2 linked regions of the Caenorhabditis elegans genome follow. The protein of the gene in region 1 purifies or fractionates together with the protein of each later gene. This does not show direct contact. Each region holds a gene or a part of one and is shown on either strand. Other genes may lie near its edges.

The links.
Region 2: the proteins of rpb-9 (region 1) and Y41C4A.32 fractionate together in Caenorhabditis elegans (co-fractionation; one large-scale study listed by BioGRID). This does not show direct contact.

Annotation. Positions count from the first base shown.
Region 1 is NC_003283.11:8,010,746-8,014,668, forward strand, and holds rpb-9 (DNA-directed RNA polymerase II subunit rpb-9), read right to left. Parts: upstream 1,601-3,923; coding exon 1,416-1,600; intron 982-1,415; coding exon 853-981; intron 801-852; coding exon 611-800; 3' UTR 468-610; downstream 1-467. Other genes in the region: lmtr-2 (Ragulator complex protein LAMTOR2 homolog), read right to left, coding at 1-69, 178-361; Y97E10AR.6 (BSD domain-containing protein), read right to left, coding at 1,896-1,994, 2,105-2,950, 3,042-3,203. UniProt on the Caenorhabditis elegans protein: DNA-dependent RNA polymerase catalyzes the transcription of DNA into RNA using the four ribonucleoside triphosphates as substrates. Component of RNA polymerase II which synthesizes mRNA precursors and many functional non-coding RNAs.
Region 2 is NC_003281.10:11,719,508-11,723,430, reverse strand, and holds the start of Y41C4A.32 (Beta'-coat protein), read right to left. Parts: upstream 1,726-3,923; 5' UTR 1,701-1,725; coding exon 1,548-1,700; intron 1,173-1,547; exon of another isoform or gene 1,106-1,172; intron 934-1,105; coding exon 454-933; intron 215-453; coding exon 84-214; intron 30-83; coding exon 1-29. Other genes in the region: Y41C4A.11 (LITAF domain-containing protein), read right to left, coding at 2,432-2,617, 3,345-3,392, 3,460-3,531.

The sequences.
Region 1 (3,923 bases):
TACGAGCGACGAGTGTGCAACCAATTACTCCATTCTCCAGAACGAGAATAGTTTCTTTCAGATCGTTGGCTGTAATTACAACTTGATCGAGGTGTTTGATTTCAAACTTTGAAGAATGTGAACTGGTAATTTTCCAGTTGAAATAGACTGATTATGAGCATGTTTTAAAAAATCTACCTCTTCTCTCGAGAGCAGCCCAGACACTGGCTATAAGTGCAGATGAGACGTTTGATGCAACGGCTTTCTGTTCGCTTCCGACGTAGGCAAGGAGCAATCCTTCCTTATTGAAAAGCCACGAACCATCAACACCGCTTGTGTTCACCTGTCCGAGAACATCAACCAGCGCTTTCTGTTTCAGCATCTATTTTAAAGTTTTGGATTACGGTTACTAGTTAGAAAGTTTTAATTTTGAAAATAACCAAAGAGTACGGTAAAAACCGAGAATTAGAAAAAATATAATCGAAAAATTGAATGATGATTTGAATTTATTGGAACAGGTAGGGAACATATGGAGATCCGAAAAAACATTATTTTAGAAATAAGGAATAAAACAACAATTGACGATTAAGAAAACGTTTCAAATAAATAGAAAACAATTGGACACTATGTTTTATTCCGTCCATCTGTGCTGACAATCTTGCGATGCACATACATAGTACAATCTCATCTCTTCTTCTGCCTTTTTTGTTTGAGCCTGGAAGAAGACAGCCTTACTTTTGCCACAGACTGGACATTGATGTTCTTCAGTCTTCGGGAGCGTTGGATCGTGAATAATATCTCCGACGATTTGAGTGAGCTCACTGAAATAATCCAATTGATTTAGAAAATGAGTCAATTTGACAATGAACTTACTCAATTTCGTGAACGAGCTTATTCACATAGATACACGGGTTAGCGGCGACTTCACGATGCTCACAGTTCCGGCAGGAATACATCAAAACTCGTGATTCCTTATCCTCTCGTGGGTACAGCATATTATTGCTGAAGTTTAACAATTTTGATGTTTTTTTTCAAATTTTCATCATTTTGTCTTTATTATTAGCTTTGAGCCAGAGGTGGGTGCAATTTTCTTTCGGCAATTCTACAAAATGGCATATTGCGCCATTTTGTTCCAACATTTTTAGTTTAAAATTAGTATCAAAATATAGTAATTCAGTTGATTTTACTGAAAATAACATTATTTTCGGCTGAAAAACTTCAGAAAGTGCTTAAAAATGGCATGCAAGTTACCGATTTTCAAAAAAAAAAACAAAGCTCGATAATGTTCCAGCTGAAAATGATATTTCCAGTTAAATCAATTTAATTTCAATATTTTCACACTAATTTTAAATGAAAAATGTTGAAACAACAAGGCGCAATCGGCCACTTTGTGAAATTGCCGGAAATAATTTCCTAAATAATATAAAACTAATTACCATTCTGGGCAAAACTTGATTCCAACAAAACCAGGCCCACTTTTCCCGGGTTTTTCGTTTTGACTCGGCGCCGGTGATGCACCGTTTTGATCGTACATATCATCGTAATTATCATACCCTTGGCTCATCTTTCTGAAAAAATATGATAAAACATTTTCAAGCTTTGATTTTAATTGCAGATACATTAGTGGAATGGAAAACCACAAATAGCGAATCAAAAATGTGGAAAATAAAATAAAAATGCAATTTTTATTTACAAACCAACAGAGGAGAGATAAGATTATTCGAAGAAGGAAAACCGACCTTTCTAACTTTGTATATACATATAAAAAAGAATTCCATAAAATAAAGAAATGGGGGAATGATGCTAGCCATTTGATTCTAGAAGCTTTAAAGAGATAGGAGTGACAGTGGAATTATTGACAGGAACATGTAGAATATCGAAAAAGAAGTGAATTTAGTGAAAAAAGAGCATTTGAATTATTCATCCCAGTTAACCCATCCTTCTTCTTTCTTTTCGCTTTCAGGTCGAGGTGTCAATGGTCCCTTTTCGTCATCTTCGTCATTTGATGGAATTTCCTATAACTAGTTTGACATTGCTATCGATTTTCAATAATTGGGCAGCACTTTTAATAACATTTGGTGCAAATTTTTCGAAAAAAAAATTATGGTTCAGCGACAAAACGAACCTCAACATTCTTTTCACTGCAAACACTCCATTCAGATTGTGACGGACTCGTTGGCTCTTCTACAACCACTACAGACGATTCAGATGATGGTGATGATTTCTTTGATGATGTTCCAGATGATCCCTTTCTTTTCGATTTCTTTGGTGATTTTGTATCAACATTCAATGCCTCGGAGAGTGTCGACTTGTTCATTTCTTCCTCCATTTCAGCAACCTCGATAGCATAGAAATACCGTTTCCAGAATGTTTCATGATTGACACTGCCTGGAACAAGATTTGCAAACATTTGACGCAATGATGGATTGTTTGCAAGAAGAATATTGATCTCTCCGTCATATTCGTCTAAATTGAAGCGAGAAATCCATCTTTCATAAAATTCAGAATTTCCTGGTTCAGTGAGATAGATAGATTCGTTGGATTGAATTTCGGAGAGCTTCAATTTTGATAAACAAGTTTTTCTATCTTTCTTGGGCTTGATAGCTTCAGTAAAATCGTCTTCTCCGGTAGTGGTCTCTTCCATTGCCAAATTCTTGACCGTATCTGTAACCGTATCCACAATCTTAGTCATCCATCCAAAGCTCAGAGAGTTCGAGCTTTCCAGTTTTGGTTTCTCAGTTCCTGTTTTCTGTTCCGATGATTCACCATTATCGTCTCCTTCTCCTGGTAATGGTTTCTCTTCTTCATTCGGAGTCACAAGCTTCTCCAGCATCTGAGCTTGTTGTTTGACAGCATTTGCAGCAGTCCCGAAACCTTCTTTTGCAGCTGAAGCAAGATCGGTTACTTCAGCAGAGACGGCTTCACTCAAATCGTTCAAATCCTTTTTGACTAGGTCAAGAGTTGTCATCGTCTGAAATTTGTTTTTAGAAGGAATTTTCATTGTTTTTGTGAAGTAAAATAGGATAAAACACAATTATTGCGAAATTTAATTATGCACTTACCTTTTCCTTGGCAGAATTCAAAAATGATGCTCCCCAAGAGGAACCCTGGTTGAGCCATGAACTAGCAGCTCCAAATCCGCCAGCGAATCCGGAATCTTCCGTGGTTTTCGGTTTTTCCTCATCGGTTTCCTCGACTTTTACATCTTCGGGTTTTTCCGACATTCTCTGAAAAATGAGTGAATTAGCTGGAGAAAATGCCATGAGAAGGGACTCATTTATTGCACGGAATCTAATTTTCGAAAGAGGATGAAGAAACGAATGAGACGAGAAGATATCTGGAACAGAAAATGGAAAAATAGAAAAACAAAAGCAAAAAAAGGCTGAAATGGGAGAAAACACAGAGAAGACTCGGCTAAATGAGGCAGAGAAGGGAAGAGAAGAGAATGAAATCGTCATGTGCAGAGTTCGAATGGAGCGCGTTTGCAAATAACATACTCACATGGGTTTTTAGCTTTTCTTATGTAAATCATGGAAAGAATCAGATGACTTTTGAAATATTATGATTGGAAATCACACAGCTGTTCAAACAGATCGCGTGTTCATCGAGAGTTCACGGGAAAGAAATCATTCGTTGTCTTGAAGATGCTTTTATGTGACAAAATTCAAAGATAGTAAATACCATCTGGTTTTTTCCGAAACAAAAGAATCTGTAACTGAAAAAATTACACTGAAGTTACAGTTAAAATGTAAATGACAAAGAAGAGTTTATCTCAACACGCGATCTGAAACACTGAACCGAAGAGACATCGAAAATGAATAGAATTTGAACAGATCGCCATCGATTTGAGGGTCGATGAACACGGAGACACGACAAAAGAAGCTAATGATTTTCCTTTTGAAAATATTAGAAAATTTAATCTCTTCAGGAGTTTTCGGAACTTG
Region 2 (3,923 bases), on another chromosome or scaffold:
CCTTCTCAAAATTCAACTCCTTTTCCAATCTGAAGTTTTAGGTTTTGAATTTATTTTATTGAAGTTGAGCTAAAGAAACCCACGAGAAAGTCTGCGAATTCCAAATTTTTACAGTAGAATCCTCGGCTCCGGAGATAATCCATGTCTTGAATGGGGTGACAAAGGTAACGTTGTTTTTGTGAGCATTTTTTAGAGTTTCAATGCATTTTTGGGTCTGAAAAATGTTCCGATGCACCATGTCTTTTTTTAAACTTTGACCACTTTTATCTTGGTTGGTTTGGACTTTATCAAATAGTTGTCAATTACAAAATTATAGAGAAACAAACAAAGAATATTTTGTCAATTAGCAACATTTTGATAGAATAAAATACCAGCGATATACGAGCTCCTAAAGTTAAGCGTGGTGTTTCCGCTCGATGCACCATGTTTATAAAACTTCAAATTCCCGCTCACCTGAATATCCCAAACACAAATTGAGCAATCATCGGAGCCCGAAACAATTCTCCCACCGGTCAGAAACTCCACACAATTCACCCCCTTCTCATGACCCTCCAGAGTGCAAATCGACTCTTGCTCACCGAGCTTCCAGACTTTCAAAGTTTTATCCAACGATCCACTGACAAACATCTCCGGGTCTTCAGGGTTCACGGCAATTTGCATGATATAATGAGCATGCTCCTGGAATTCCTGCTCCATTCTCCACTCGTTTTCCCAATCCCAAACTCGGATCTTACGATCGTCGGAAGCCGATATGAGGTAGGGAAGTGTCGGGTGCACGGTTAGGGAGCGAATAAAGTCAGAGTGAGCTGTGAACTCGTTGATTAGGCTGAACGTTTCAGCGTCGAAGATCCGGATTTGCTGATCATCGGAAGCGGTGGCGATCCAGTTTTTACGATGGATGAATTTGGCGGCACGCGTGGATTTTTCGGAGACCTGGAAATATAATTTATGAATTTTGAAACGGTGAAAAACTTGGCAAATGTAATGTGAATGTTCTAGTTTAGGCTTAGGCTGAGGCGTAGGCTTAGACTTAGGCTTACGCTTCGGGTAGGATTAGGCTTATGCCTAGGCTTAGGCTTAGGCTTATGCTTCGGGTTATGGTTATGCTTAGGCTTAGGCTCAGGCTTAGGCTTAGGCTTAGGTTTAGGCTTACGTATAGGCTTAGTCTTAGGCTTAGGCGGGGCTGGGGGAGGGAAAAGAGAAATACCCAGATATTCCGAAAAATCCAAAAAAAAGTCAAAAAAGTCAAAAGTCAGGAAAAATTGGGCATTCCGAAGTCGATCATAAATTCCATAAAAAACGACCGAAAAAAAAGAACCAAAAAATACAAAAGTTTCAAAAAATTAGTAAAAACCAGTTTATCGGGGCTGGAGAGTTGAAATAGAAAAGTGATCAATTTGGAAAATGTGGGAAATTAAAATTTTCTATAACTTGCTAGTAGATATTTTTCTGAAAAATTTTCTCTCCGCTGAGATAAGCACCCCTATGTAAGTAGAGCTAGAGTACACCCCCTCCTTTACTGAAAAATCAGAATCGTTTTAACTCACCTCCATAGCCTTGACCAACGTTTTAGTGTCATAATTCCAGATTTGAACATTTCCAGTGTGCAAAGCAGTCAAAATCCATGGCTTCTCAGAATGAAAGTCCACCGACTTGACGCGATCCGAGTGGGAAACGAAGTTTGGAGCTGGAGAGGACATTTTTCAGATAAATCTAATCTGCTTTACCATTTTTCCCATTCTTTGTTATATACTCTACGGAATTTCACAATCGGACAACTCAACACTTCCAACTAGCCCTAGGGCAACGTAATGGAGCGGAGAGTGTGTGCGAAAGTGAGAGGGTTGCCCTTTTCCATGATTTCTGTCTTTTCTGTGACTTTACTTGTGATTATTTTTGTGACTTTACTTGTGATTACAATTGCCGAAAATTTTCGGCAAATTGTGGTTTTGCACATTTTTTTTTGGAAACTTCAGAATATTAATTTTTCAGGGATGGGCAGCATACAATTTTTTCCGTCAAATCGGCAAATTGGCAAGTTGCCGGAATTGAAAATTTCTGGCAAATCGGCTGTTCCTACAGCTATTTTGAAAAGTAAGCAAATTCAATGAAAATTTCTAAAGAAAACGGAAATTTTTTTTAAAGGACCGATTTAAATGTTTCCGTCTTATAAAAAATCCGTCTAAAAATTTCCGGCAAGTCGATATCCGGCAAACTGTCATAGTTGAAAATTTCCGGCAAAGTCGGCAAACCGGCAATTTGCTGATTTGTCGAATTTGCCGAACGGCAGAAAGCACTGAAAAAAGCCTTACAGTTAATTTTTAATGTCAAGGGATAACAAAATACCAACAAAAAAATTCAAAATCTTCATTGCCCGTCACAAAAAAAAATACATGTTTTACAAATTTCTGGAAATTTCTGTTTCTAAAAATTAAAAACCGGCTCGATTCGACGTGGCAAGTAACAATCCGCAATTTGGACAATTATGATCGACATCCTTGGATACATCAAAACACAGACAAATGAGAATAGGCCAACAGAATAAAAAGGTTCCGAAGAAGCAAATAAGCCACCAACACATTCCGATATGTGTTGTTACTGATGTCATTATTGTTGTCTGGAAGGAAGATGCGAATTATTTGTGAAATTTGTTAACTAGGAAGTTGTAGAAAATTCAATTTTCTACATTTTGTTAGTTGGCAAAAATTTGATAAAGCTATCCGGCGCGGAGATATGAGCGATCAAAGTTTGGAAATACAGAGCGCTCTCAGAGACCACATCTCTTTAAACACGTATAACTCGGCGCATACAAAAGATACAAGAAATTTGTTAACTGACATGTTGTAGAAAATTAAATTTTCTATAATTTGATAGGTAACAAAATTTCAATAAAATAAATCCCCGTGGAGATATGAGCGATCAGAGTTTAGAATTAGAAATTTTAATTTTTTGAATTTTTCCCACAATATTTCAAACTGTTGTAACTTTTTTCTCATTTTACTTATCAGAAAATCGTTAATTGATAAATTGTAGCAAATTTTATTATCTACAGCTTTTTATTGAAAATTAAAAAAAAAAAATTTTTCATCCATAAGATAATGCGGGTGAAAGTAGGCTCACGGTACAGACCCTCAACTTATCTGTGCATTTAAACTCCTGTAACTCGACAGAGAGAATAGCTAACAAAAAGTTGTCAACTAGTAATTTGTTGCAAATTCTATGTTCTACATTTTATTAGTTGACAACTTTTTGTTAGCACTATTGCCGCAAGAGATATGAGCATTTTTCGTTGGAACTTGTTTTTAAAATTAATTTTTCAATTTTCAAAGCTAAACTGTACCAACCTGACATTTTGGGCAAACATCTAAGTACGGAGTTTTTATAGGTGTTTCCTGGAAAAAAAATTAATTTTTTTTGTTTGGGAAAAGCCCCTCTAGGGCTCAAAAACTGAAAACTCACCTTCACCACGTGCCGGACCACTTTAACTGGCTGAATAACATGAGGGATCGGGAAATCGTCAGGATAAGACATTATATCGATTTTTTCGACAAAACGCAAAAATAACTGCCTATTGGTAAAAGTAAGTGGAACCAAGTAAGAGACCGCCACAAATATTAAGTCAATATTTACCTTTTTGCGGGCTCTCGTGGCTTTCGTGGGGCTGCTCCCAACAAAATATAATGTATTTTCGATAGACCAATGATTCATTGGTTTTTTGGTTATCTTTGGCCATCTTCGGTGCAATGCGGTGTCAGATGGCAGCGATTTTCACGATAAATCGGGGAAATCTAAATTTGAATGCGCGCGCAAATGAGCAGGGGATTCGCAGTGGAGCACGCTTGCATTATTTTGGAGACCGTCGCGTTTTCAACGTTTATCGGTTTTTTAAATCATTTTTTCGCATTTACCACTGATTTCCCATA